Linked DNA regions of Drosophila melanogaster. The protein of the gene in region 1 interacts with the protein of each later gene in a pairwise test. Each region holds a gene or a part of one and is shown on either strand. Other genes may lie near its edges.

What was found.
Region 2: the proteins of CG10254 (region 1) and Obp58c interact in a two-hybrid assay, tested with the Drosophila melanogaster proteins (one large-scale study listed by BioGRID).

What each region holds. Positions count from the first base shown.
Region 1 is NT_033777.3:23,680,504-23,698,065, reverse strand, and holds CG10254 (uncharacterized protein), read left to right. Parts: upstream 1-3,082; 5' UTR 3,083-3,113; intron 3,114-3,339; exon of another isoform or gene 3,340-3,540; 5' UTR 3,541-3,617; coding exon 3,618-4,043; exon of another isoform or gene 4,044-4,060; intron 4,061-4,204; coding exon 4,205-4,467; intron 4,468-4,526; coding exon 4,527-4,731; intron 4,732-4,918; coding exon 4,919-5,177; intron 5,178-5,253; coding exon 5,254-5,995; intron 5,996-6,053; coding exon 6,054-6,957; intron 6,958-7,020; coding exon 7,021-7,990; intron 7,991-8,055; coding exon 8,056-8,274; intron 8,275-8,328; coding exon 8,329-8,537; 3' UTR 8,538-9,059; downstream 9,060-17,562. Other genes in the region: prt (portabella), read left to right, coding at 1-20, 242-843, 910-1,126, 1,190-1,314, 1,381-1,473; CG10252 (uncharacterized protein), read left to right, coding at 1,904-1,922, 1,984-2,202, 2,263-2,449, 2,521-2,785; SPE (Spatzle-Processing enzyme), read right to left, coding at 9,952-10,375, 10,436-10,745, 10,962-11,354, 11,705-11,780; CG18754 (uncharacterized protein), read right to left, coding at 12,190-12,586, 12,652-12,885, 13,361-13,682, 13,937-14,009; CG16710 (uncharacterized protein), read right to left, coding at 14,182-14,611, 14,684-15,296, 15,488-15,563; eIF3d1 (eukaryotic translation initiation factor 3 subunit d1), read right to left, coding at 15,926-16,480, 16,557-16,849, 16,919-17,554.
Region 2 is NT_033778.4:22,700,119-22,713,389, reverse strand, and holds Obp58c (Odorant-binding protein 58c), read left to right. Parts: upstream 1-6,711; 5' UTR 6,712-6,729; coding exon 6,730-6,771; intron 6,772-6,827; coding exon 6,828-7,176; intron 7,177-7,236; coding exon 7,237-7,445; 3' UTR 7,446-7,518; downstream 7,519-13,271. Other genes in the region: CG30268 (uncharacterized protein), read right to left, coding at 10-309, 374-651; CG30275 (uncharacterized protein), read right to left, coding at 749-973, 1,031-1,240, 1,296-1,544, 1,607-1,770, 1,821-2,395, 2,454-2,690, 2,784-3,067, 3,118-3,675 and 6 more; Obp58d (Odorant-binding protein 58d), read right to left, coding at 5,676-6,074, 6,129-6,257, 6,314-6,442; Obp58b (Odorant-binding protein 58b), read right to left, coding at 7,822-8,033, 8,098-8,449, 8,633-8,680; Obp59a (Odorant-binding protein 59a), read right to left, coding at 9,984-10,229, 10,311-10,673; CG30259 (uncharacterized protein), read left to right, coding at 8,992-9,132, 9,203-9,455, 9,748-9,971, 10,886-11,464, 11,521-11,946.

The DNA.
Region 1 (17,562 bases):
CCTGCTCCTCTCCTCGCTGGGTAAGTGGTCTATTTTGGGGGCATTGATTGGTTTTTCAATTGGGAGACACCTCATCAGGCGGATAAATTAATATTGGAGAAGATAACTCTTCTACATTCAGTTTTTTTTTTTTTTTTTAACAAATTTTGATAATTCTATGGAACTTTATATTGTATTATATTTCTATATTTTATTAATGCGTAAAACGATATATCCAACTTTCTCCAAACTTACCTTTCAGTTTTCACCGTTGGTGAATCCTACTGGGCTCTCCTGGTGGCCCGGGCTGTGCAGGGCGTGGGATCCGCTTGCATCAACATATGCGGCATGAGCCTGGTGGCCCAGCATTATCCGGAGGAGGCACGTCGTTCCAAGGTGATGGGCATCATCCTGGGCAGCATCGCATTGGGTGTGCTGCTGGGCTATCCATTCGGTGGAATTCTGTATGACCTAATGGGCAAATCGGCGCCTTTTATCATTCTCTCCACTCTGATGTTCCTAAGTTTGGGCCTCCAGCTCCTGACCATGGATCTGACGGTGCAACCGGAGGTTGTGGTGGAGGATAGACCCAAGTGGCGATCGCTGCTCGAATGCAAAATGATCCTGGCCATTGTGCTGGCCATTTGGTTTTCAACCTCAACAATGGCCATGCTGGAGCCCTGTCTGCCCATCTGGCTAATCCAGTATCTAAAGCCTAACAAGTGGCAGCTGGGCACCGTTTTCATTCCAGACTCTGTGGGCTACTTTGTGGGCACGAACTTCTTCGGCAGCATTGCCTACAAATATGGTCAGGTTAAGGTGTCCTGTATCAGTTTGTTGCTGGTGGGAGTAGCCTCTATTCTGGTGAGAGCCCTGCTTTTATAAAACCTGAATTGGAAATATATTGCAAATATATTATTTACTTTGCAGATACCCAGTGCTACAACGGTGGCCCAACTATTGCTGCCCCATTTTGCCTTGGGACTGGGTATTGGAGTAATCGATGCCGCATTGGTTCCACTCTTGGCCACCTTTGTGGATGCAACACTGGCTCAGGAGGATCAGGGTGAGGGCAGCAGTTCCATGTCCAGCTACGGAACAGTCTATGCTATCCAGCAGACCTCTGTCAGTCTGGCTTATTGCTTAGGTAAGTGGATATTGTTTTTTTTTTTTTTCTAAAAAAAAAAGTGTATTTTTATCATCTTTATAGCTCCCCTGATTGGCGGGGAGTTGGCCCAGACCTTTGGATTTGCTTGGCTGATGCGCATTGTCGGCATTTTCAATATGATTTATGGCCCAATATTGGTCTACTTGCATCAGAAATACGATCCAAAGGTATCAACATTTTTTATATTTTTCGATTAAGCCGTCACTATTTATATGTGTTTTTTTTTTTAACAGGCCCTTAGGGAACAGCATAATGATATGCTGCTCCAAAGCAGCGGGCGGGGATCTAGGTATAAACAACTTTACAACTCCATGGATGTGGAATAAGCTGTACTGCCCAGTTGTCCAGCAAAATAGCAAACAACCTTGAGTGTGCAAATAAGGCGTTCCTTTGGCTCAATAAAGCAATATATCTGGAGCTGATTTTCGTAAACAATTTATTTTTCCGATAAAATTCGAATCTCCTATTATTAAAATCACTTTGCCATGTCTTGAAGTAACTTAGGTTATTATGATCAAATTTTCGGAATAAAAAGAATTACGTAATTAATATTTGAATGGGTTATGTGTGAAGGAATTACGGTGGTAAAACTTTTCTATAACAAGTGTGCTATGGCTCTGACTTCGAATGGAGCTGCGATGTGAAGTTCTATGAAAGCCTCATTCTGCTACTGGAATCTGTTCGGCCAACACCTAATATTGGGTTCTAAATTTTCAAAATAGATTTTCTTTCTAATATTGCACAAAACTAACAAAAATGGCGGTGCGACCTTTTGGTGAGTGAGAATTCATAAAATTGTAATGTGGTAAATAATATATTATACATGCTTTTTGTAGGCCCTGGACCCGGCGTTTACATGCTGCCCCCCACTGTGGGCTATGATAAGCATGACAACCGCAAACAGCGGTTGCCGCAGTACTCTTTCGGCATGCGCACCCGTGCTCCTGGTGAGGATCTGGGTCCTGGTCCAGGGGCCTACAAGGTGGACAAGTTGACTCGCTATGGCACGAGCAAGGGTTTGGAGTTCTCGATGGCGCCCAGAACCAATGTCATCGGTAAGATAACTTATTAGTACTGAAGACAAGAACGTTTTTGGTTAAATTGCTTAATCGTAGATAAGCGAAGCAGTCCCGGTCCGGGAGCACACGATGTTCATAATAGGCCATTCTTTAAGGGGGTTAATGCTCCTTCGTATTCGATGGGCCTACGAACGGACTTTAACTTCAAGAAGGATGGTCCCGGTCCCAATGCCTACAAGTACGAGGTCAATGCCGTTCGTCCTGGAGTCCCGAGCTATAGCATGTGCGTATTTCAATCCTACCATAGTTATTCCTTTACTAAGTTGCCTATTTTTATTTGTACCTGTATCTCAGGGGACTACAAACAAAGATTTTGAACAAGACGAATTCTCCGGGTCCGGCTGCATATGGCGGTGGTGATATCAATGTCAAACTGACACGTGCTCCGATATACTCGATGCAGCCGCGCACCACTATTCCGGGCGAGAATGTCGGACCTGGACCCAACTACTACGACCTCATGTACTATCGTCCTGGCAAGAGTGGACCGGGCTACTCCTTTGGTGTGCGCCACCACCAGTTCGCTCCGCCTATGATAGTTAGATGTGACAATATGTAGACCAAGTGCAATATTGGAAGAAATATATGCTAAAATTTTTGTGAATAAACAATTCTTTTTAAACCAAGTTTCATTGTTTATGGAAAATGCTTAACGGGGTATTAAAATGAGATTGAATTTGTTTTAACTTGGTAGAACGCAATGAGCGTTACCTTTATTGGAAAAGGAAGGGAGCATTTTGATGCTAGTGCGCCTATGATGTGATACACTTGGCTCTGTACATGTCTAAAATACAAGTAGTCCCTGAACGATGTGTCAAATTAACATTTGATAATAGAAATTTTTGGAAAAAGCACATTTACATTTACATTATTATATCAACGTAACGGTGAGTTTTTAGGCAGACAACAACACGCGTTACTATTTTACGGAATTGAGAGTAACTGAATTTGTATTTAGACTATCCCATTTCAATTTCGCGGGCAAATGCTCATCTTGTTTCAACCGTTGTTTTCTCTTAACAGAGCGCTGTTATCAAGATAATGGTTCGAGTGCTCGCTTAAAGGCACTGGAACTCGGAACCATTGATTTTATCTAACTCCGGTATTTTTCAGTCACAAAATTCTTTTTATCAAAGTTTCTCGTTTTGTTTGTAGATTTTGCCTGTTTTATTTATAGTTTTTCGAAAGAAGTTGGCGAAATTGTCCAAGCAAATTTATAGTTTGCTCCAGTGTCCGTAAATTAGATGTGTGTTTGTGTGTCAGTGGCTCGTCGGGCATATTATAGGAATTTGTAATAATTAGTGGCCAATAAAGGGAGAAGAAATATATTCACCGAGCATTCGCCACGGCAAAGTTCTTGCCGTCCATGTTCCCAGCTTACGATTGGTAACATGATGAGCGATGTGGCGGGTGCGGCCGCTCCAGGTGGTACACCAGGTCAACCGCAGCAGGAGCAGGAACAGTCTTTGGCGGAGGCTGCTCCGCGTACACCGACGCTTGCGAATCCTCCTCCATCCTCACAGGAGCTGGGTCGGACCCCCAACCAGGAGAGCCGCCATAACGCAAATTCCCACTCCCGTCGATCGGGTGGTGGCCAGGTGCCATCGAAAGCCCAGGGTAACACCGAGTCCCAGTTCTTCTTAGAGGATGGGGTTTTTCGCATTGATCGGCGCGGTCGCGTCCATTTTGGCTTGGTAACCGCAACGACCGAGACCTATTCCTCCTCCGAAGAGGAAGATGTCGATTCGCTGTCCAGGGGCGAGGTGCGTGTGGCCTTCTATCCGGGTGGCAAGGAGATGGTGATGACGGAACAGTCGGTGAGTAAACTCCATTGAGGTTATGTAAGTCTCACGGTCTCTCCAAAAAAATAACTGTTTTCACAACTGTTTTGAGTTTGCTCTTCAAGTTCTTTTGACACGTGTTTGTTTGCTTCTTTTCTTTTGTTCCATCGACATCCGAACATGTGGCATATACACAGATTGGTCTGGCGGATCGCACCCTAATGCCAGGCGATGTGGTGCGGAGGCGTCTGCCAGGAGAAAACGTTTTGGCTGGCCAGGCGGGCTACGTGCGGGATGTCAATGTACGCGCCGATGTTATGGTAATGGGCTCCAGAATGGTCATTAAAAATGTGCCCGCCGAGCGACTGCGTCCGATATCCGAGTGGAACCAATATGTGCCTCTCTGCATGGACACCTGGATAGGCACCATCATAGACATTAATGAGTGCGCTGTGCTCAAGTATGTTTCATATCTCTCAATCAACTCGGGCGAACATTATTTTCAATATTTTTTTGCAGATCATCCAACGGTGCCCGTGTGGAAATCACCTCCAACGATTTCCACAAGTTTAAGGATGCTGTGTCCGAATGCGATCGCACGGTCTTCAATCCGAATGTCTTCTTTCCAGGAAACATTGTAATCGGTCGCATGCCGCCCCCGGATCGTGTCAAGAATCTGACCCCGGAGATTACCCATCCCTTAACTCGCAAGGGTCGTGCTGTGGTAGGGAGATATTAATCCTTTATAGATTTGTAGTCTCAGATTGACCGATTGTATATACTAGTTACGCTATTATTTTATGTAGCATTCGCCCTAGTTTGATTTGTCATAGTAGATTAATTACATTTTTACTTAACTAAAGAAGGCCCTCCCATACTATCGCTAATTGAAAATAACCTTATTTATCCAGTACACCGTGGAGTCTGTAGAAACTACATCAATTAATGTGGATTGGTCCTGCCGTGCAATCGGAAATGCCACGGGCAGCGATGACACAGACAGCGATCCTCTAAAGGAGCCAAGGTCCTTGATCAAGGGTGAGGAACTGCACAAAGTCAAGCGCCTTAGCCTCTATGAGTCCTACGAGCTGCAAATTCACGATCGATTCTACCTCAAATATTCAAAATGTGATCTATTAGTTAAATATGCCGACTGGGAAAATGAACAAGGTAGGATGTTAACAGGAAATAGGTTTAGAGGTAACAATAAATTATATATATATATATTGTATTTCACGTATTACAGCGGAGAAGTACATCCCCATTTTTCACGCCCAGAAAAAAATGCAGCGCAAGGCCAGCAAATTGAACGCATCTGCTTCCACTAGTGGAAATGCTCGCAGTGTACCAAAGTTCCGCCGCATGCCCAATAAAATCAGCGGTATGCGACTGCCTCGACCGCCAAGCGACCAGACTCACAATGCTTGCAAGTCGTCTAAGCGCAGCAAAGAGGATGTGTTGACATCGGAGGATGAGGATGAGTTCGAGGAGTTCATGCAGCCACTTGATCAATCGATGACTGCCGAAAAAGAAGTGGAGGTTGCTGAGGACGCACTGCCTCCGTCCGCTGCTACCACAGCTGCAGCCGGTGTCGAAGTCCAGGCTCCCAGAATAACGATGCGATCTGCTAAGAGGCGACAAGTAAAGAAAAAAATCCGCTCTGTCAAGAAAACAATTTATTCGCCTTTTAATAAAAAGGAAACCACTCCCAAGGATGGCGATGAAATCGTAGTGGAAACGCTGGTCGTTTACAGCTCGGTGACGGTCGTCTGGCAGGATGGCACGGTGGAGTCAGGCGTTCACTCCACTCAGCTCTATCCTATTCATCATTTGGACAACCATGAATTCTTTCCCGGTGATTTTGTGACCAAAGCCAACGATATCAGTACGGGAGCCACAGACTACGGGGTAATTCAGTGCGTGGACCATGATGCACGCATAGCCAAGGTCATGTGGTTCAATATCTACACGAATATTGATAATCCAATGTGAGTGCACTTTTTTGTTTTTAGCTATATAAATTATAATTCTATATATTTTGTTTAGCCCTTTGTTCAAAGGATTGGAGGAGCTGAGCGTTTATGACATGAAGGATCACACCGATTACCAGTACCGACCCGGCACAGTGGTGATCCGAGTGTCAAACTTCACGGGTGAGGATGTTAACTCTACTGCTGGTCAGGTGATCGACAACTACCCGAATGGTCGTGTGCGTGTTTGGTGGGCGAAGGGCCATATCACATTGTGCTACCCTCAGGATCTCTTTCAACCATTTGAACAAGATGAACAAAATGAACAAGATCAAGATGTCTACGGATCAGATGGATCCGAAGACTCGTGGGAGACGGAATCGGAAAACAGCCACATATCGTCATCGGACAACGATGACGACATTCTTACGGGCATTGACAGAGCCACAGAGGCAATGAAAGTGCTAGAAAAGATGTTCCGCGTTTTACATCCCAATCGGAAAGCGGAAGTGCTTTACGATCTGCTGGATGTGTACAAAAATTGCCGGGCCTTAGACCGTTTGCTAAATACTAAATTTTTCGACGAGTTTAATTTCAAAGGCATTGTGCGTTGCAAGCCTATTACCTCTAAAGTTTGTTCTGACAGTGCCACCCATGAGCGCGCAACCCCAGAGACCCCAGAGACGTCGGCCGCCGTTCCCAAAGAGTCATCAACGCTCCAAGCTGAGTTGGAACCAGTTTTAATGGATCCGTCTGTTCAGTCATCATCAAGTCCTACTAAGCGAAAATCCTCTACGGAGATGGATGAAGTTCTATGCAAAAAGAGCACGGATGAGATCTCGGAGGAGCAAGATTACCAGGTGGAGGTAGTAGAGGTAATAGAAGATCCGCCGCTAGTGAGGGAGTATCGCTGCAAGTACAACGAAATGTTCGCCAACGCACGTAGAAGCATTGCAAAAGCGATTGAAAATCGTACTAAGGTAAGAGTCCTTCAAACAATAAAGAATTTTGTTTTTTTTTTACAACTTATCCTTTGCTGCCAGAATGATTCTGGCGTACACTCTCGCGGTGAAATCACCTCTGACGAGTCTAATAATCATCCAGACAGCGAAAATAAGTTGGACATAAAGCATCCCACAATAAATGTAATGGATGATTTGGAAATTGAATTGGTTGCAAGTGGAGATGCTGACGTCTGCGAAGTCTTCTGTTATTTGATCAAGTTTCAAATGGCCAGAATTCGCAAGACGGTCGCTGTGACGTTGGGCAAGACAAATGACAATCCCAAGCAAGAGAAAGAGGATGTTAGCGATGCAGAGGAAGCTATTGAGGCGGTCAGCCAGGAAGCGGAACTAGCCAATGATGGTGCTACCGAGTGCAATACAATGGCTGAGGACGAAGCTATGGAAGAGCCATTGAATCTCAACGCGCTTTCCGAGTCACTGCCGGCTATTGACCAGACAGGTCCCATGGCCTGCTCCTCACCATCTTGGTCAATAATTCCAGACACGCCCTCCGTGGACGAGAATTGTTTCCAAGTGCTGCCCAATGCACCAGCTGCACATAATTTTATTAGCAACCTGATTACCCCGGCCAACAAGGCGCAGTATCAGCGAGCTGTGCAGCGGGAATATCTTATGCTTAAGTCCTCGCTACCTAACGGAGTTGTGGTACGTGCCTACGAGGATCGCATGGACCTAATGTCTGTAATGATGGTGGGTCCCAAGCGCACGCCCTACCAGAACGCTCTATTCTTTTTCGACTTTCAATTTGGGCGCGATTACCCGAAGAGCCCGCCGGTGTGCCACTACATCAGCTACTGCACGGATCGTCTCAATCCAAACTTGTACGAGGGTGGCAGGGTATGTGTGTCGCTACTTGGCACATGGATGGGACGCGACAACGAAGTTTGGTCGCCCAGCAGCACCATGCTCCAGGTGCTCGTCTCCATACAGGGACTCATACTGGTCGATGAGCCCTACTATAATGAGGCGGGCTACGAAAAGCAAAGAGGTAAAGTGCTGTTTCTATTCAATGCCATAGACTGAACTTAAAATGGTTTCGCCATTTATTTTTAGGCACCCAACTGGGCAATGAGAACTCTCGTGTCTACAACGAGATGGCCATCATAAAAATTGCCCAATCCACGGTGAAGCAGTTGACAAATCCGCCGCTCATCTTTCGCAATGAACTTATTGAGCACTTCAAGGAGTTTGGCACCGAGCTGTATGCCCGCATGCGGGCCTGGTCGGAGTATTCTCTTGAGGCACAGCGCCAAAATATAACCAAAATCAAGGGTGAGTCAGCCAATAACTCAGTTTTGCTCGATTATTCATAATCCATTTTCTTAGACATGCCTGTGGAGTACAAGGCGTCTTGCGAGCTACCCGAATTCCCGCTGCTACCATGCAGTCGAGGCTTTTGCATAGCGGTCAAGCGCGTTTTGAGCCAACTTCAAAGCGAGCTAACTGCCTTGGGTGCCAATCTGGTTACGGATGAACGTAATGGCATTGCGACTGGAATTGGCACTGCCCCGCGCGCTGCTCCGGAGGAGATCTGATTGCCACTCATCCTGGCCAGCGTATGCCTATGAAAATGGTGCCTATCAGAAGAACCACAAGACTTTTGCCGCCTGCGTTTTGGGAGTCTGATCTGGCCCTCGGCAAGTGTCAGCGTTTTATAGCCCCTATCTCGAATCTCGAATTTCTATCCGCTCGTATTGCTGGCAGACAGCCTTTTAGTTAAACAAAATTTTCTACGATTATTGGTTATTAGTTTAAAAAACAACAAACAAAGCTGAATTATATATAGCGCGCAACTAAGCATAAATTGTTAAAGGAATCCGCCTCATGTAATGTCAGCGAGTTTTACTTTATGTTGTTATCAGGCCAGCTAACAAATAAAATTTAATGTTTTGTTGCGAATATTGTGAACGCTGGCCTACGCGAATATTTGTAGGCATTCCACTAGAACCTAGCTTAGTTAGTCCATCCCACGTCCAATCAGCACCATGTACGTAATATTGTAAGCTAGCCAATGCGAGAAATGTGAATAAACTAGCAATTTTATTTATTATGCCTCCAATTTCTGCTTTATCCAATCGATGAAAGCCCCCCTGAGGGTATATACACCGGGTTATCCACCGAGGCCGCACTGCTTCGTGCCGTAGGAAGTAATGCCAGCGATGTAGAATACGTCCCGGCTGCCTGTGGATATGGACACCATCAAGGGACCGCCAGAATCGCCATCGCAGGTATCCATAGCCGTACATGCCGCCGGCGCACAATTGGATCTGGATCAGATCGCCCGTGGGCAGGCAAATGGGGCGCACGTAGTCGGTGTAGCTGGTGAATGAATAACAATGATGAAGAAGTTATGGAATACTCACACATCCCACACACCCGCCACTCCTTTTCAATGCCACTCCTTTTCAAAACCAAAGCAATGTCATTCTGCTGGTCTACGGAATTAGGCAACTATTGGTCATGTACAATGCCCTTCTCCACCTCGTGTGTGGATATATTTCAAAATTTTAAGCGGATCCAGGTGAAATCGTTGTCGTTTATGGCATCCCATCTGAATGTTGGACCCACTCGGAAAATGCGCAGATGACCATTAGCAATAGTAGAAAATTCCATTCCATGGAAGCCATCTCGATACCCCAGAACCCAATCCGATACTGACCAAGCTCTCCGGCACATCTGCCGTCTAGATTGACAAGTGAGATGGCTATTGCAACAGAGATAAATGAGTTCCAGAGATTTTCCTCTACTTTTCCATTAGAATATGGGAAATTACGTGGGCAAGCTACTACCAGACTTTGCTGATCACAGATTGACAGAAAAGTGGTTCGATATTATTACAACCGGTTGTGCTCGCAAAACTTGACAGTGCCGATCTCATGTGAATTGATTAAACCCCAATATCTACATCGCGCTTTTCACATGGTTATCATGTATTTAAGTATGTATTCATCATGGCTCCAATTTCTGCTTTATCCAATCGATGAAAGCCCCCGTGCGGGTATAGACGCCGGGCCATCCCTTGAGGCCGCAGGGCTTCGTCCCGTAGGAGGTGACGCCGGCAATGTAGAAGACATCCCGGCCGCCCGTGGATATAGGCACCATAAGGGGACCGCCGGAATCGCCACCGCATGTATCCACGCCCAACTGGCCGCCGGCACACATCTGAGAATCGTCCAGTTTCACCTTGAAGCTGGAGTACTTTTCCTGACAACTCGTTAGGTTCCAAACGTTGACGGTGATCTTCAGCTTGATCGCACTTGGCTGCATGTTCTCGGTAAGTCCCCAGCCGGCCACATCCATGCCGTAGTCCACAAAGTTGTTTTGGACTAAACCATCCGTGGGAAGGCATATTGGACGCACGTAGTCGGTGTAGCTGTGGCAAAAACAAAAAAGCAAGTCAGTGGAATAATTGAGGGATCTCTGGACCACATACCTAACAATCCTCTTAAGGCGCACCAACGCAATGTCATTACGCTGATCAACGGAATTGGGAGCATACATCTCGTGGATGATGCCCTTCTCGACCTCAATGTCGATGTGTTTCGGTGCACAGATGCGCTGTCCGTTCATCTGGGTGGTGCAGTCAGGATCGGTACGAGTGTCCCACTCCCCCAGGCGAACGCTGTGTAGAACGGCACCGGATTTGTCCAGTTCTCGGCTGGCCAGGCAGTGTCCAGCGGTCAGGACGTAGCGCGAGTTGAGCAATGCACCGCCGCAGTTGAAAGTGTAGGTTTCAGAAAAAACTGAAAGGATAAAGAGCGTTTCCCAAGTACATATTATAAATTGATTAGATACTAATAATAGCCTTGTATATATTGAATATGCGTTTTCTTATAATGATGATCCCCCCATTGGAGAATTTGATTTGAAAAAGTGATTAAAAAATGATTACAGGTGACCTCGTGAAACAACCTTCCTATAAGAGATTAAAATAGAGCCTGGGTAGGTAATCTACTCACGTTTTTTGTACTGCAGCAATACCATCCATGGGAATTCCCAGAGGGTCGTATTGGTGCCCCCGAAAATGCGATCAGCGAAAAGGAAGCCGCAGACGTCATTTCCAGGCAGCACATCCCCCTGCTGCAGTGCATCCCTCGTCGAAGGAGTTGGTTCCGAGTCCATGATATTGCCCCGCATGCTCTGCGGACAGCAGACCAGGATTCGATTCACCAAGCCCTCAACCCTGTTGTCCAGGCCACACTGGCTCTTGGAGAGAAGGATTCGCTGGGCGGGAGTCTTTGGCTCCACCATCAGCAGGTTGGCCAGGTAGGGGCAGCTGGTGATGTGAACGCACTGGCCGCGCTCATCGCTCTGCTGGGGCGTACAACTGCCAAAGCTGATCTCCGCTGCGTCTGGAAGAGAAGAGCGCGATTTACGATGCAGTCTAACCGGTTCTGAACCAATCCATTAAAGGCAATCCATTCTACTAATGGACTTCATGTCTAATATTTCTCATAAAATTTCTTAGTCCGGGAAACTATATGTTGATATTTAATATATTTGAAGTTTTCAAAAACTCTTTGATTATTAGTTGTTATGGTTTTTATTCTCACAATCAACAAGGTCAAGTGCTTAGTTTTTCTAGCTTTATTCAAACTATATACTATACTATACTATATATATAGAACTATATACTTTTGAAAGAAGCACCATTGCATCCAGTTGCTGTGGATATTGTTTGCCCAAAGGACAGCTTACCCACCTGATCGATGGACCAAGCCGGATAATGCGCTGACCACCAGTGACAGTAGCAGAAAATTCCGTTCCGTAGAAGCCATCTCGTCGCTATGGGCTCCAAGCTGATACTAACCAAGCTGTCCGGCAGTTTCGCTGTCACCGATTCTCTCCCGATGCATTGGGCGTGATTAGCAGAGGTTATCTCCGGACTCAATACCATCTAGATTGCAACAAAGGCAAAAGCTATGTGAATAGGGTGGTCTTTCCCTGCCTTAATATTTACATAGTAGTTCTGCTGAGCTGGGCAAACCCAGCGGTGTAGTTATTAGAAATTTATTTATGCTTAATCTTCTCTCGGCACGTTATGTTTTTTGAACAACACGTTTTTTAAAAAACAATCTTCAGTGCTTTTTCTTATCTTTTGGGGTTTTATAGGTCTATTACTTTATAGTAGTGGATTAATGGAACAGATGCTATTCCAATTTTGCAAATATGAATTCTTTATTAAAATTAGGGAGCCAAATTCGCTTTGATCCACTCCGAAAAGTGGCCAATTTTTGTGTAAACACCTGGAATACCAGCAGAGTAGCAATATTGTTGTCCATATGAGGCAATGCCTGCCAAAAAGACGAACTCGTCGACGCCGCTTCCCATGATGCCCATTACCGGACTGCCGGAGATGCCCGCACAGGTGTCCCCTTTCCGTTGACCACCGGCGCATACTTGGGACGCGGAGCGAAAGCTGGGATACCTATTCAAGCAATCAGCAGGATTCCTTTCCTTGACCGTGCTGGTGATCAACGTTTGACTGCTTTTAGTCGGATCCCAGCCAGAGATTTGCAAATTCAAATCCTGTAGGGGAAATTCGGCGTCCAATAGACAAATGGGTTGGATCTTTTTCGTGTATCTAGCGGGTTTGTAAAGAAATTTCCATAAGATGTGGAGATTAGGGTGGAGATCACTGCTACTCACCGCACTGGGAATTGCAATCGGAGGAGGGCGATGTCGTTGCGGTAAGTTCCGCCACTCGAAGTGAAACCCTGATGTACTGTTGTTTGCCCCACCTCCACATCCAAATGTGGACACCTGCTTTCCGAGGTGATGCAGTCGGTAGTGGACTCGCCCAGGCGCACACTCTTCAGAACCAGGTCATTCTGCGTCAAGTAACCACCGATCACGCAGTGGGCAGCGGTCAGCACATAGCGACTGTAAAATCCCAAATGAGAAGACTTTACTCGTTGAGTTTTTGTAAGAAACTAATTTTATTTGGAAATATCTTCGGTTTAAATAGGTGACATGAGAATCGCATCTTAAAGTAAATGGCCTACGCAGAGGCCTAAGTAAATAGTCCCCGCCTTATCGAGGTCCCACGCTCGGGCACATCTGCCTATCTTGAGCGGCGAGGACCTTATCTGTGGTCTCCCACTAAGGGACTATTTTAGGAGGCGGGGAAAGATCTCAAGTGACTGACTCATGTAGTGTGCACTTAAATTACATGTTTTTGAGCAATGCACCCATGTCGCCTTAGATAACAAAATCCTAAATATAATTTATCGCTCTCGATTCATTTACATAAGATATGAACGGAGCCCAAAATTGTAAGTCTTTAAATATATTCGTGTTCATGTGTGAACAGCGACTGTTGATCAGTGAGCCCGCACAACCAGTTCGTTGATTCCACATCAAGGATAGCCGATTCTCATATAACAGCAATACCATCCAAGGGTACTCATTAAGCTCTGCATTCTCGGCACCCCGATCTCGGAACACGGGCGTCGTTTGTCCACAGGTCTGTTTGTTGGGCAAGACGTCACCCAACTCTGGGCAGCAGACATAAACCATGTGCAACAACTCGTGTCCATTGGGGTCCAGGCCACACTGCCTGTGTGCAAACACATCTTTCTCCGCCTGGGTCATGCCCCGGGGCCTAAGGATGTTCATAAGCGGCGAGCAGCTAACCAGTCTGGTGCATTTCTCATCCTTTTGGCAGCTTGATAACCGAACTATAAATTACAAAAATAGATAAGTGAAAGCCCCGATAAAGTATAGCAGTACGAGTCTATGTGGAAATATTATTATTATTATTATTTTTGAATATGATTTATAATAAAACGGATCGATGGATATGATAATTTTTATAATTCATGGGGTCGAACGTGACCTATTCACAGCACACATCCTCTGCAAGGATATTATTGAGCAAGATATAACATCTTCGGTTTTTTACGAAAACTTAAAAATCATTGCTTTTGCTTACCACACTCAGCCAATTGGTTGAAGAAAATGGCCTGGAGAAGGACCAAAATATAAACTTTACGTCTGTCCGACATGCTAGACATCCAAACTCGATCTGACACTAAATATACAGAATAAAATGGATCAACAAACTCATAAATCCCAATGACTCAATGAAATTTCCTAATTTATTTTTGCGATAATTTGGGCTCAGTGCCGGACAATAAATATTTCTTTTCTTAACCAAATTCTACTATTTTGATTATTTCATTGGAATATATTAGTGTACATGTTCCATAGAATCCATTCAACGAATTTGGATGTCTTTGTGTAAGCTGCTGGTCCGTATCCGCACTGACTGTACCCGTAGGATGTGATTCCGGCTAGATATACGAATTCCTCGTCACCACGTTCCATGATGGCCATCAGCGGACCGCCGGAATCGCCCTTGCATGTGTCATTGCCTCCCAGGTTGCCGGCGCATATGTGGGTCTCCTTGTCCAATCCCAAGGATGGTTCACTCAATGAGCACTCGTCCGCGTTCCTGCCATTGACATAGGCCTGTAGCAGCACATTGCTATAGCCCTGCTTATGAGAGAGTCCCCAGCCAGCTATTTGCAACTTATGGTTGCTGAAGGACGGATTCGAGAAGATATAGTCAAGTTGAACACAGATGGGTTTGATTTGAGCGGTATAGCTAAAGACATATGAAATGTATATATATATATATATATGTAGTAAAAGATATGACAGGTCAAGTGCAACTAACCGTACTGGAAACTTCAATCGCAGCAGGGCGATGTCGTTGTAGGGCCTTTCCTCGAAGACCATGTAGTGCCTATGCTTGATACTCAGATCGACGTCAATTTCCAGATGCTCTGGAGCGCAGTGTTCCCTACCATTAATATGGGTGACGCAGTCGGGATTGCTTAAAATGTTATGCTCGCCAAGGCGCACCCTCCTGAGATCCAATCCCGTTATCCTCAGACAATGGGCTGCGGTCAGCACATAGCGGTTTGTGATCAGGGATCCAGCGCACCTGGACACGAGTCTTTCATTCCACACCGAACGGCTGCGATGCGCATATAGAATCAGGGCCATCCAAGGCAACTCGTTGGGTTGCGTCTCCTCTCCTCCGAAAATTCGATAAGCCGGCATGATTGGTCCACATATCTGGGTATTTGGCAAAATGTGTCCCATATTTGGGCAGCAGATGAGAACTCTGTCCAATAATTCCTGCCCCTTGGGGCCATAGCCGCAATATCTGTCCTCGAATACCGCCTTCTCGGCTGGCGTCATGTTGTGGGGCTTCAGAAAGGGCAAGAGTGATGTGCAGCGGGCTAGACTAATGCATTTCTCATCCAGATTACAAGGCGGATATTCTGATACAGTAAAGAATTGGATATTAATAAATATTATATTATGTGAGTCATTTTAATTGGATGTTTAGATAATGATTGGACGAAACAAAGCTATTTATATTTTAAAATTCAAGGAAATACCCATATCCAAATGAATCATTTTCTTGAATGTTATAACGTATACAATGTGGAGTACTTGCAACATATATTACCAGACTCAGCCAGGTACATCAGCAATTGAGTATGCAGGACCAGGAAGGATATGTACACTCTTTGTAGGAAGACCATCTTTAACCGTCAGAGTTTAAACAATGTCTAAATCTTAACTAGATGCCCGACACGCACAATCAGCTTACTATATATGAGTCCGGGAAATGAGTCAGTCATTTACGTACAAGACCTCGGTGTTTCAGTCGAAAGTTTTTATCACAAGTACCCGGCATTAGACCTGGACCAATAAAAATTCATGTATTGTTTCGCCCTCTGTGATTTACTAGGAAATATCTGAATTTAAATCGAATACAAATGCTTAAGCTAGGGCCTATAACATGACCTTTTCCTTTAGAGGACATCAGTTGTGGTTATTCTTAGCGGGTTGTGGCAAAAGAGCCCAAGACTGGAAGGGATGCAGGAGTAGGGGGGCGTGGCGTCTAAATCTTGTTGTGCGCGTAGTTGTAGACCTGCTGGAAACCTTCGTCATCGCCCTCGCCATCGTCCGAGTCATCGGAGTCGAAAGTATTGTCTGGGATGTCGTACAGACGGATGATCGGCTTGTTGGGGTCCTTCATGATCAGGTATTTGCCATCCTTCTGCTTCATCACCAGATCGATGATGCATCTCAGGATTCCCCAGGCGTTGTCCATGCTCAGGTTGATCTGAGTGGCAAATTCATGCGGCTTGAACTGCTGCGTGCCGAGGATGACGTGACGCGAGTGATCTCTCGGATTGATACGCGACACATAGCCGAGCTTTAGCTGATCGGACCCGGCCAGGACGGCCTGCACAGTCCACTTGGCCAGCTTGCATGCGTTGTTCCTCAGCTCGTTGGCGAGCACAGCACCGCGCTGCGTGTCCAACTTTTGACGCCATTCCACGCCATTGGCCAACTTCGAGTCCCACTCGTTGAGTGCCTTGATAGTCATGAACTGCGGCTCGCCGCTTGGCGTCTGCAGGACACCATCGTGCTCGCAACGCGCTACCAGGACCTAAAAGTATAAGACAATAGTTTAACATAATATAGAAAAATATTCCAACTTTAAAGTTGGATTATGCAACACTTACAATATCGCTTCCCAGCTCCCACTTCTTGTAGCGGTAGCCCACGCTGGCGACTTGGATATCTTCGTCCTCGCTGATGAAAGGGTTGCTTTCCTCGAACTTGTATTTGGGTTCCTGGTCTCCAGTCTTAAGCACCTGCTGGCTAAAGTTGTGGTTAATGAAAGTCGCCTCGATGGCCAGGTTGCGAGGGGAGTTGCATGAGCTGTCGTCGTCGGTCGGTGGTTCCACGCTGCTCTCGTTCACGGTCAACAGATCGAACTCGGTGTGGTCACGCTTGTCCATGAACACCTTGTCGCCTAAAATAAGGTTACAATTATTATTTATTTCTCTTATTATTATTATATTTCGTATTTCATTTAACATACCAACTTTCTCGATGACAATATCCCAGGAATAGTTCGATCGCGTAGAGCACATGATGGTGGCCAGGATGGCGTCCGTGGCGAAGACATTGCCGACGGTCTTAGACAAACGCCGGATGACGGGATCGTCTGTGGTGGTCACCGTATGCACGATGCGATCGATCTTCTGCAGCGGCTTCTCGTTCTTCACATTGATGCGGTCGTAGGTCTTGTCGTAGTACTCCAACGTGCCGCAGGTGACAATATCGACGCCCTCCTTGATGTTGGGCAGCGACAGCTTGATGAGTCGCGGGAAGTCCATCTCCTCGATGGATGCCCAATCGGCGCGGACGGCCACCGAAGATTCGCGCATCTTTGGTGGTGGTCCGCGATGACCGAACTTCTTGCCCATGCCGCGACCATGGCGCGGATCGCGGGCCTTTACATTCTTGCCGCTGAGCGTCGTCATGCCGTGAGTATTAAGGCCACCGCGGGCATTCCTGCCACGACCGGAACGCGAATTCCTCATGTTGCGGAACCGGCCGCGCTGGTGCGGCGGCTTCTGGACGCGGGCCGTGTCCACCAGGTGGAAGGTTGTCTCGTCCTCCTCATGGTAGTACGAGTACTGAATGCCCGTGCCAAAGCTGGAGGCATACTTGTCTGCGAAT
Region 2 (13,271 bases), on another chromosome or scaffold:
CCAACTTACAGCGCCTTGCGAAAGGACAACACTGGCATGGTGCTGCGCCGTTGGATCACGATGACCGCTGGCAGATGCTTCTGCTCCGAGACTTTTGAGTGCTTTGGGTAATAGGTTGTGCCAAAGGCCTGAACGGCATCGTATTGGCCTGGCGGGCAATCTGGTGGCTTAAACACCAGCATATAATTGACCAAATGCTCGGTGTAGAAGACCTCCAAGATGACCTTTTTGAGCATTTGGCTGTGGCCATCCTTGCAGATGAAGAAGTTAAAAAATATTGCATTGAGCAGCGTGATGGGAAGATCAACGCTATTGGAGGAGATACATTAGTGAGCCTAGAGCTTAAATTAGGATTCATTCAAAAGTGACATACCAAAAGCGAACATTCAGCCAATGGAGCCACAGATCGTTTGCGAGCACCGGAATATTTGGATGGTTGGCAAACTCGCTGTAGGCCAGCAACAAGTGATACTCCTGCTTATTGTAGACTATCAGTCGCTGCGCCTGATTTTTTAAGAAAAGAGTGTCCAGTGGTGGTGTTTCCTTCACCCCAAAGTGCCAAGTGCTTTTGGCGTCATAGAGGTCTTCTATGCGCCGCTGATCCCGAATTCCCGCTGTGACGATTAATATATTATCATTGCTGGTGGTCATATTTTTTTTATTTTAAATTAGTAAAATGTGTATTTGAGTCTGAGCACTGCACATGAAAATCGGAAAGTACACAACCAGACTGCTTTGCATTTGAAAACTATGTTTCACTCAAGTCCGACGACGAATCATTTTCCTCCGTATCCATGTATCGCTCGTAATCAGCCAGGTCCAATTTGAGAAAGTCTTCGGGCAGGGCGAACTTGTGACGAAAGTCTCTTCGATGCTCCCTTAGGAAAGTCAGTAGCTTGAGCTCGATGTAGCGCTTGTTCAGGGTGAAGAAATCCATATCCGTCAATTCGCCCAAGGCTCCACGACCTGGACGCTGTAAAGGTTCAAATAGCAAAGGGAAAATATATTGAATGAACCTCATTCAACCCACTGAAAGTGCCGAAATGGCCATGGGGCTGAGCAGTTCCTTATTCTCCGCCTGGAGCTCCTCAAAGTCATCATGCATGATCAGCTCTGTCCAGGGCTCCTGGAAGAACTTCAAAAAGCAGTGAATCAAATTGGCTCTATAGCGTGACTTTAGCTTGTTCAGGAGCAACTCGTGCTTGCCACAAAAGTACAGCAAGAAGTCCAAATTGCACTCCTAAAGTGACAACATTTATTCGAATGAATATACTTATTGCACAAAATAGTCTTACTTTTTTTGTTACAACCACGATCTCATCCACCATCATTCGCGTTGATAGACCCACACGACAGAAGGTTTTGTTCTTATACGTGGTCAGGTTGCAATTTTTTATGACAGGCACTTGGGAAAGGAGGTATCTCCGAGGCATGGTCACTTTTGTGATGAAGTACCGCAACGGAAGAATGGCTTGGAAGAGCACAGGTTCGGCGAATCGATCCTCGAAATTCTTGTCCGTAACAATGCCCAGATGATGTAAGATCTAAAAATAATTGGGGATCTGAATTGGACATTATAAAATGAGTTAAACGACGCCTTTTTCACCTTGCGGGCCAACTCTCTTTCACTGACAAATTTATATTGGTAGTTGGGTGTAATACGCATTTTAATGAAGCTACCAGCTGCATAGACATCTGGATCATTGGTCTGATAGCGCTCGTTTACCAGAATTTGATTACCGTCGAGCTCGATGCCGGCATTTTCTAGCCCTAAGAAGTTTCAACTTTTACCAAAGATTTTAGCCATTAAGCATACTTACATTGCTTGTGCCGTTGATGGAGGTGTCCCTCCTGGAAGGAGATAAAGAGGTCGCATTCGAAGGTCATCTGTTTTTGAGTGGGGAAATGTTGAAATATCACCTCCATAATGAAGTCTGTTGACTTATGCAAATTGTAATGGTGAAAGTCATAGTCCGTAAAGATATTGACTCCCTTCTCCACTAGGATGTCGTCCATGATCATCTGCAAGTTTTTGTCCCAGTATGGACACTTTTCCTTCATGTCCGCATCCCTTCCAGTGATGCGATGTGGCTGGACGAACACCATCCGCGAACAATCCACACCGTGGCCGATCAGAAAGGCAATGCACTCGTAGGTGTGTAAGTTGTTGCCATAAACCAGGACCAAATACGTTCGCGGCATATCCTCCAGGAGTGCTCGAACCTTGTAGAACAGCAGGAACTTGTTCAGCCGGAAGTTAATCTCGACGAGGTTGCAAGGTCGTGGCGAGTACACCGGCACATCTATACAGCGAAGCACGAACATCCGGTCACACATCAGCAATAGCGTGTCATAGTAAATTTCGCACGAGTCAAGCTTCACAAACTTTTTATCTCTACGCATATTGAGAGCACTGTCAGTCACTAGGTTCCATAAGTTAATGACTACCCTACCTATCGACCTTTTCGACCTTTCCTGGCACAAAGTGCACCCAGCATCGCAAATCAATCCGCATGCAACAATCTCTCACGTAGCATGACTCATTTCGGTACGAAAGATAGCATCCTTGCCTATTAGTGCAATAAGGACACTTGAATAGGCTGTCATAGTCCGCCTCTACAATACCCGCCCTGCAAATCACGGTCACTTGAAGCCTAGTCAAACAGGTGAAGTTTTCCGAGTTCTTGTGGCTAATGAGAAATATCAAACATATTAAAAAGACGAAACGAATCCGTCTTGTAGGCTCATATTCGAAATCGCAAACAATGTAACCCTATACTTACTCCTTGCTATTCCATTGAAACACAAGCTGTCGCAGAAAGGCCTTCGTCACTGCACTGAATCCAATGATGACCAGTTTTTGGCTGTTGGTAAACCACTTAACCGGATTGAGTTTGTGGCGATAGATGATCAAATTATCCCTAGAGAAGTTTGGCGGTGGTAGATCCAGCTTTTTCCTCGGTTTTTTATGATTCGCCTGGACCCTAGTAAATACCGGAACCTTTTTAATGGGCTTCGGCTCTACGACCATCATCATCTTTTTCAAGTCGTTGCTGTACTTATAGCCCTAAAGAGTAATTTTATCAAAAGTAAATTTCTAGCGCACTATTCACTTACGTCGACAGAATGAATGAAATAATAATCGTAAAAGCTTGTCTTCCTGGCCAAATCCCTAAATATCAGACCGGCACTAACCAAGAAAAGAGGATGCAAACGCAGTGATATGATCTCTGCCCTTCGTCGATTCAACTGATATTCTTGCTTGGGAAGGTGGTAGTGTTCAAAGAGTTTTTCATGACTGTGAAATTCTCGCACAATCACAAAACCAATCGCAGTGTTTTCCCTAACAGATCTCGTAGAGATCCCACACCGAATCGTGAACACGGCGAACTCACTAAACTCATTCTCCAGCACATCCTTCATGATCGCATCGAGCACATGGAGCTCGTGCTCCAGCTCCTCCCGCTCGTTTACCTTGGAGCAGTACGAGAAGCTGCTGCTGCTTGAATTAGGAGTTTGTGTGTTACTGGGCAAGTTCCCAAGTGCCAACTTGTGCACATGTGCCACGTCCTCCTTTTCCAGTTTGTACAGACTAATCTCCCCAAAGATGGTGCTGCGATGTGTTATGAATACATCGTCCAGGCTGGACAGATTACTTGGCCGTGATGCGACTGGCTGGTGTATGAACTATTTTAAACTATTTCGTTGACTTAAACTAAGTCTGGCCTACCATAAAGTACTGCATCACCTCCAGATAGCTCTTGCTCGCCTTGTACTTCACCGACATCAGCATCATGCAGTAATCCCTGTCCGGATAGGCGCTGAAAATGGCCACCATTGCGTTGAAGAGGCGTGGCAGTGGGAAATCCTGTCGTGCCACAATGCACCTGAGAAGGAAAACGTTTGATGCCGCCGCCATGGCCGCCGGACCTGCGGGCTCCGTTCCGGCCGGATATATAAAATTAATCACGCTTTGTTCGTGCCGCAGATAGTAATCGGTGCTGTGGAGTTCTAGATAAACCCATGTTATGAACGGAGCATCCGGCATTCGCAGTACAACTCACTCTCAAGAATGTACTTGAACTTGGAGTACAGACATTCGCGCATGTAGAACTTATTTTCATTCGCCACATTTGTATCCACAATTGTGCCGCCAATGGAGCTGACCTTCATCTTACCCAGGCTGGCCACGCTGTTGAGAAATATAAATCATTGTGGATATTTGCCTTACAAATTAATAAATAATCACACCTCATACCGCTGTCAACCTTTTGCAGTCCTCCCAGAATCGTCACCGCATTCAGATCGTCGAGGGCATCTGCGGTGAACATGCTAGCCTCCGCTCTTCGCTGTACCGATCTGCAGGACAGTCGGTAAGGAATTACTCTTTCCGCACGTAAAGCCATCACTTACGACACCGTCATCGTCTCGTAGTGGAAGGACCTTCCATCCGCTGGCTTCACCAGATTGCCAAATTGTTCCATCTCGTAGTTGCGCACATAGAACATAATGTCTATATCCGAGGACAGCCACAGAAAGATGGCCATTTCTGACTCCTGCGACTGATTGATTGTTTCGGCCACAACAAGCATACTCTTCGGATTCTGTCCCATTACCTCCTCGGCAATGTAGTAGTCGCCCAGCTCCTCTCGCATTTCTGGGTTCTCGACCTCTTGCATTGCTATAATATCGTCGTTATCTTCGGCCCTTCATGGGAAATATTTAAAACAAAACAAGAATGTTATTGAAACAGTTTCTTCAAATGCCTAACAATATCTAACAATATCTTAGTAGGCGATATCGATTTCAGACAAACTGATTAGTAGTCTGCTGCTTTTTAAGAGGCATTTGAATTTAAAATTTCAAATGCTATTTCTGATATAGTATACAATTTGAACAAGGAGCACAAAGAACAGAGCTTACAGTGCCTTCCGGTAAGTAATCCTCGGCAGAATTACGAACCTATCCACAATGTACAGGGACTGTGTGTTGTTATTCTTATCCATGCTATATTCCAGCGGGTAAAAGACCTGGGATATTTTTTCCAAATCATCGAAGGTTTCCACAAAGTGGATGGGTTGTGGCACATACGGACACCTAACAGTGATCAGAAACCACACCCTGCTCTCCCTGTAGAGCACATCCTTTATGATCTCAACCAGAACCGGGGACTGATCGCTCTTGTAGACGCAAAAGTTGAAAAACAACGCATTCAGCCAGCTAATGGACATGGATAGGCTAAAGGATATATCGGAAATAGATGATATATTCAACGTTTTAAGTCCTTGTATCAGTACCAGTATCTGGTGGACAACCATTCCAACCAGCAATCCGTGGGCAAAGCGGCAATGGAGGGATAGTTACGGAACTCGGCATAGGCCACCAATGCGGAGGATTCAGTGCAAAAAGCCAATATCCTGTAGGTCTGATAGGAATTGAACAGGGAGTCCTTGCCACGAAATTTCGGACGGATATTGCCGAACCACTTGACACCTGGCGATCGAATCAGCTTGTTGAGCCCATCCTGGTCTCCCGCTTGAGCCAAGCGAATCTGAAACTGATTCATCAGTGCGAATAATTTATGTGTGTGGTGTGTGATTAAAACTAAAAAACATACTGCGTTTATAAGCTTAATTTTATTACATGACATTTTTGAGTTTTTTTAATACGTATTCTTAGGCAGGACTCTTTGTGGGCAGTGTAATTCCATCTATTTGGTAGCATTCGGCTTTGGCATTTTCGCACATATCCTTAGTTCCTGCCTTGGCAGTGCCCTCCCACCGGAAGTAGGGACACTCGTGCTTCTGATGATAGTCACTGATGCACATGAATACCATCAATAGATAGGGGCGACAGGCTCCTTTCAGGAGCACCTTAGCCCCAGGACTGGCCTTTAAAAGGTTGTAGACCCCAACAGCATCCTTGCGACAGAACTCGAACATGGCAATGTGATAATCCTTCTCCTTGGGCCGATCCACAAATGTCTTTTCTGCATCCAGCTTGACCATCTTCATGTTGATGGTGTCGCTCTTACCAATGTACTTCTTTTGCTTGTACAGGCACTCCACAAAGCACTGAAGATACAAATATTTTCGTTATAATAGATATATAAAGCTTTAATTACCTACCGATAGAAACCTCAGTGTCTTGCCGATGTCAGCGTCCCCATCCACTGGCAACTTGGGTGAGTGTATAACGAAGCACTTGACCAGGTCCTCCTCTTCTCCTATATAAAGTTCAGAACAGCAGCCAGCCCTCTAAATTGAATTTTTAGACTTAATACGTTTGCTGTTCGGTTTTAAAGTAAGCTCACCGATGTGTTACACTTATCCTCAGTCAAGTCACCTGAAGATATGGCAACTGCAGTAGTTTCCTCATTATCCTGAGCCTTTGAAACGGCCACCAGAATTAGGAACGTCCAATAACAAACAATGTTGACCATTGCTTTTCGAATGTGATTAATTTACCATGGTCATAACATTTATAAAACCATGCGTGCTCATCATTTTGGATAAATGAATTTAAACCCAAATTGGATTGCTTAATTAAATGTAACAAATGTCCATTGTAATGACTGGAATTAAATGAGCGGATAAAGAAACATTTGCAGACAGTCTGATGGCTCGACATTTGGCAAATTGGCAGCGGTTTCCTGTTTTTATTTAAACGATATGTGGGTGACTATATAAGCTGTCGTAGTGGGCTGATTTTGGTATAAACGGCGGAGCAATGAAGTGCACCATTTTATTGAGTTTTTTCAGCCTGATTTGGGTGAGTTCGAGGAATGAAATTCACACTGTTTATATATATTCAAATACATGACTTAGTTTGCTGGTGGAATTAAAATTGATTGCGAGAATACGGAGGCCATTAACGAGGACCACATCCACTATTGCTGCAAGCATCCCGATGGACACAATGATCTAATCGAAGGATGTGCCAGGGAGACCAATTTTACGCTGCCCAATCAAAACGAGGAGGCACTGGTGGACATCACGGCGGACCGAGCCATCCGAGGCACTTGTTTTGGCAAATGCGTCTTTAGCAAACTGAACCTGATGAAGGACAACAACCTGGACATGGATGCCGTGAGAAGTTTGTTCACTGAAAGGTTTCCCGACGATCCGGAATATGCCAAGGAAATGATCAACGCCTTTGATCATTGTCACGGCAAAAGTACAGAGTTGTTATTTCAGCAAGAACTTCTTGGCTAACTGATATTTTTTTCACCAAAAGGCGAAGAGAATACCTCCATGTTCCTGTCGAAGCCCCTCTTCAAGCAAATGTCCAAGCAATTCTGCGATCCGAAGTCTAGTGTCGTCCTGGCCTGTGTCATCCGCCAGTTCTTCCACAACTGCCCGGCGGATCGCTGGTCGAAGACCAAGGAGTGCGAGGATACCCTGGCCTTCAGCAAGAAGTGCCAGGACTCGCTGGCTACTTTGTGAATAATGAGAATATCATTCTTCTGCAATAAAGAACATTAAATTTACGATTTACGACATTCGAATTATTTTGTTTAGATGAAAAAATGTTATGCATTCAGAATTATTCTGTATATTTGGATGTTTTTTTTTTTATAGGGATGTAATGGTAAACAAATACGATCAACTTGACATTAGTTAATATCGTATTTTTGCAAGTGATTTGATAACAATAAATCCATTTAATTAAATGTATTGCTGAGTTGGCATTCAATCACCCACCATTACTTATAAACCAAAAGAGCACATGAATTGAGAGCCATTGTTTTGCTTTAATCATTGGAAAATCATTTCGTTTTCCCAATTAAAATGTATTTCCTGAGGCAGGACTCTAAAGTGCTTACATAGTAGTCAGCACATCCTTGCACTTCCTAGCAAAGGCCAAGGTTTCCACGCACTCGGTGGTATTTGACCAGCGACTCGCTGGACAATTGTGGAAGAAGTTGTAGATGACGCAGGACATGATGATACTCGAGGTCGGCTTACAGAACTTGGCGGTGGAGAAGGCCCTAACAATTGGAAGTGATAGGAACTTTTCGGTGGCCTCTTCAGCTAAAATTTGGAATGGAAAAATTCAATTTTAAACTATGTTGATGGTTATTTTGCATGAGCTCACATTGTGTGTGACATTTTTCGTAGGCATTCAGCATTTCAGTCGCGTACTCCGGATCTGTTTGATGGTACCGCTTGTAGTACGAGCGCACCTTGTCCATATCCAGTGTGTTGTTCTCCATCAGATTGTAGTGATCGAAGACGCACTTGGCCCAGCAGGTTCCAACCATCGCCTGGTCCACGGTCACATCCACGATGGCCTCCTCATTGGGACTGGGCAAACGAAAGTTGGTCTGCTTGGCGCAAGATTCCGTGACATCGTCGTGGCCATCCTGATGTTTGCAGCAATGGTGGATGTTCTCCTCGTGAATACGCTCCATGTGCCGGCAATGAACTCGGACAGCCACGAGTCCATTCTGCATAGAAATATGCACATATTAAAGGATTAAAAAGTAGCTCGAATACGGATCCCCGATGGACCTTGAACTTTCAAAATTATTATGTACAATAAATCCGATCTAGTGTGGATAATCCATTAAAAACACCCTCGAACATTATCCAATCCAGAACAAATTGAAAACGGTGTTATGAGTACGTACCAAGCGCAGTGATATAATCACACAAATCACGAAACCAATTCTCAGCATGATGACAGCTTTCCAGCGGTTCGTCCTCAGTTTTATATGTCAAATGGTTCCCCTTTGATGGACAGCCCTAATGGCGTTTTCCACTGTTTCGCATTAATTTAATTCGCATCCATTATTATGGCAACAAACCTGGCGACGAAAAGCGAAATTATATGGAGTGGGTGGGCTAGTGAATCTTGTCATGGCAACGCCGGCAGTCAATTTATTATTTATTTTCCAAGGCGGCTCTTTGCTCGCCTAATTAGTCAGAGATTGGCCTTTGAAATTTGATAAGCTGATTTTTGGTAGCCGTAAAAAAAAAAAACTAAATCATGGGCAAAAAGGGTAAAGGAAAAGGCAACAAATTGGCCAACATGTCCGAGGAGGAGCGGGCCAGGTATTTGCAAATGAGGGCCGACATGGAGGAAGAGACGAGGCGGCGGAAAATGCAGCTCATTTCCATGTACATGAAGGTAACACACCACGAATTTGCAGTAAATCAAAATCAAAATCCCTATGGTATGACTTTTCCCATTAAAATAGAACAAACTGAAAAGAGAGGATGCTTTTGGTCGACTCAATATGGCTAAAATCAACCAGGAGTGGCGGAGCATTTTGCGCCAGGTGAAAATCCAGGAGCTGCGCCGCGAAATCGTCGATGTGGAGTCTTTCTTTCAGGAGGCACTTAAGCGCAAGGACCAGGTGATCCATCGCCTCATTGCTCACATAGAATCCACCGAGGATATGTACGCCAATCTGCAGCAGTCACACATGGAGAATATCACCAGGATAGTTGGTACGATTGGGATAACATCCTTAAAAATAACATTTTAATCAGAAACTAAATACACAGCTACAGCAATATGTTTAAAGATACTTAAAATGAATGGAATGGATTTCACATGTATATTAATGCTTTCGTTAATAAGAACATTGAAATATTTGGAAATCCAAAAATTACTGGAGTATTTTGATGTACATTTTATGAACAATAAGAAGCATTGTAAAATGAAAATTAAAATGGACACAAACCATTCAACGCAACTAGGCCTCATTTCTAACCCATTTATTTCTTATCCTTTACCCAGATACCCATAGAGATCGCATCGAGTTCTTTCGGACGATCTACGAGGACGACAAGCAGGCGGTGCTGAGCCAGTGGGAGCAGGACTCCGCCGCGTTCAAGGAGATGCATGCCCAGAAGCAGCAGCAACTGGAGTGCGTCTTCTATCAGCTGGAGGAGAACACCGATGGCGGGATCCGGGACAACCACGAGCGTTTCTTGGACCGCTGCGAGGACCTAAAAAGTGGGGTGAGTTTAATCCTAATTGAAGAGCATGTTGCCGTGCTCCTCCCAATCCTCGCACTGCGCCTTCGCGTACTCCGACATGCACTTGACCAGTTCCCGGGCCGCTGAACACTTGTGGTGCCGGCCCCTTCCGTTGCTCTCCAGATAGCGGAAGCACTGCTGCACGGTGTCCGTGAAGAAGTTGCGCAGCTCCCGGTCCCGAAGGTCCTTGGTCAGCAAATAGCTCACCTTGCGCCGATCGGGCATCCCATTGCCATCCACCTGTGGGTGAGAATTGAAAGGAATAAGCTCCTGCTTCTCTGAAGGATTTCGACTTTGAAAGGAATCTCTTGGATCACCTACCATATTCATCTCCTCGAAAAAGCACTGGGCCACACACTGACCTCCATCGTTGCTGGTGTGGTTCCTGCCATCCGATTGCCTTAGTCCTCGCTGCCTTCGATTGCCATAGCCGCCCCTGTTGCCTGGATTCCTGTCCTGCTCCTCCTGATCGTGATCCATTCCGTAACCGTACTCATAGCCATTTCCTTGCCGGCCCTGTCCACCTCGTCCTCGATCTTCGTCCTCGTCCTGGCGATGCATACAGTTGCGCACAGTTCGCTTGAGCTCCGCTTCACTTAGTCCCTCCTGGGATCTGCATTTCAGTGCGTAAATGGAGCAGGTGCCGCAGCTCAAACAAATCAGCAGGAAAATCAACTGTTTCATCTTGGGAACTGAATGGAGGAGCAGCTATGCCCACATCATTTATAGTTCTGGAGAATGGCATCCAAATTACAGAGTGACTGACGCACAATGAACCAAGACACATATCAATCTTAATTTTACAATTGCGTGCAATGCTCTTCGATGATTATATTTTACAATAAAGGTTATTTTAAAAGTTTATGAAAACATGTTAAATTGAACCCCACTTCCAGATGCAACTACAGCTGGAGCAGATCACCTCCAGAGGTGAAGCTCGATTGGAGAAGCTGTGGCAGGAGTATCAGGGTGTTCTGGCGGGCTACTGTCAGCACATCGAAGGCTTTTACTCGGAGTACGTGGATCTGAAGCAGCGGGATGAGGAGGCAGCCCTCCAGATTAGCCAGCAGACCCACGAAATCGAGCACCTGGTAGACCAGCTGACCAATTTGCGTCTGGTCTCCGAGGAGTTCTACATCAAGCAACAGGGCCAACTGGAGCAGCGGCAAGCCATCAAACAGCAGTTGACCGAGCGACTAAGGGAGCTACGCACCTGTGTGGAACAGGAGGTGGCCAGGGATCACCAGTTGTTCAAGCTGATGTCCGTGGAGAGCTACCATGCCTTGGAATTCCTCCAGGAAACTGTGGCCAAGGGCGAGACTCTGGCACAGTTGTCTGCGGTCTGTGCCAAGATGGAAACCCAGCGGGAGCGGATGTTCCAGTTGCCGGAAATATCCAAGGAGATTATCGAGATTCGAGATATAGAGGATCAGGGTAATGGTTCCTTGACTGACCCAGCCACTGATCTTCTTAAGGTGAGTAAAAATGCCAGTAGGTAATTTCTTCATTCAACATTGGTTTAACGTACCAGGACGAGGTGGCAGTGGTACCCCAAATGGAGTCCTTCTGGCGACGCGTCAACAACGTGGCCGTGGACGTGGCCTGCCTGAAGCAACAGAAGCGTCGCCTGGAGGCGGAGAACAGCCAGCTAAAGACGCAGCTGCAGGACTACCTGGTAAATTTGAACATTGCCAATGGCTCCAATAGCCACGTCCATAGCTATCTAGCCCGGCGGCCCAAGAGCATGTCCGTGGACAGAGTGTCGCGCCTGCAGCTCCAGCCCAAGCTGGTGAAGAGTGCCCAGCCGACTGGTCGTCGCCCAGCGGCGCCCACACCTCCCACTTTCCACTTGCATCCAGGACGCAGCCGAGCGCCTGCCTTCGAAGCCAACCTCTCCAACGTGGTTCTTTCGAGGACTTTGGCTAGGGGAAAGATGAACCTGGCCAGAATGGAATAATTTGCTAGACTCTGTAGTTATTTGATTAATGCAGGGAAACTATATTAAACAAAACACCTTAAATTGGTGTAGGAACTATTCTCTACCATAACAATTATCTATATATTTTTATAGTATTTTACAGTTGGTTCTACCGTGAACATGAATATTAATATATACGTATTTAAGCAATCACACACAAATTATATAGATATTCTGAATAAAACGGAATTTTTTAATAAACCATTCAACATCACAATACATACATTAATTTAAATATTTACATTTTATTAATATCTTAAAACATAGTTGGTATATCTTTCGATTTCAATTTCAATACAATAGAAATCAATTAAAGATTCAAATAGTTACTTTACGCGGCGCTACCAGATCAACTGATAAATATGTCCTCTGGTATTTTCGAGTATTCCTTTTCGGTACACCCCAAAATATATCGATATATCGATTCCGGGCGTTGCGCTCTCAAATTTCCACAGACACGACCCACGTCCAATTGTGAGTTTTCGCTGCGCCGTGAATCGCACTAAAGAGCAGGAAAATAGTTAATTTCCAACAGTTAAATTGGAGTAAGTTTGCACCCAAGAAAGTACGATCCAACCGCGAAGCTTCCATTTGAAGTAGATACTCGTTTTCGGATATTACAAAGTGCAGCTGCTGCGGATGTAAAGCAAATATTACAAGGAGTTATAGATACAACACTCTGTTATAGATATAGATACAACAACAACGGGGGGAAGTCCCAGGAACGGCAGGCGGTGCGAGCGAGAGGCAGCTAGAACGGCAGTGTGTGCGAGTGAGAGGGGTGGCGGGGCAGTTCTTGTTCTTGTAATTTTACCAAAAAGAAATTTCGTTCGGGAAATGTGGAAAATGTGCGCGAGGAGAGATGATGGAGAAAACAACCCCGAAAAGCGAGCAATCGTCGAATAAATACCAACAAAAACTTACACTGCGCGGCTGATTAATAAAATCCAAAAAATAAAAAGGAAAATAAAAACCAAATCAGCGAACGATACAAAAAAAGCGTTAGAAAGAAAGTGTGAGAACGTGAAATCAAAACTCCGAATCAGAATTTGGATTGTAAATTTTCGGGTCGGTGCGACTGAGACTGAGCGATAAACACAAAGGCAGATAAATACGGAAATAAAATTAATGGAAAACCAGCATAGACACATGTGTGTGGGTGTGTGAGTGTCCAAGTGTGCGTGAGTGTGTGCGTGTGTGTGTGCTTATCGCATGGAAATGCAAGCGTAAGTGGAGCAGGCGAGAAATAATTTCGAGTTTTTGGACAGATAAAAAGCAAAAAGCAAGTAAAGCCCATAAATGCC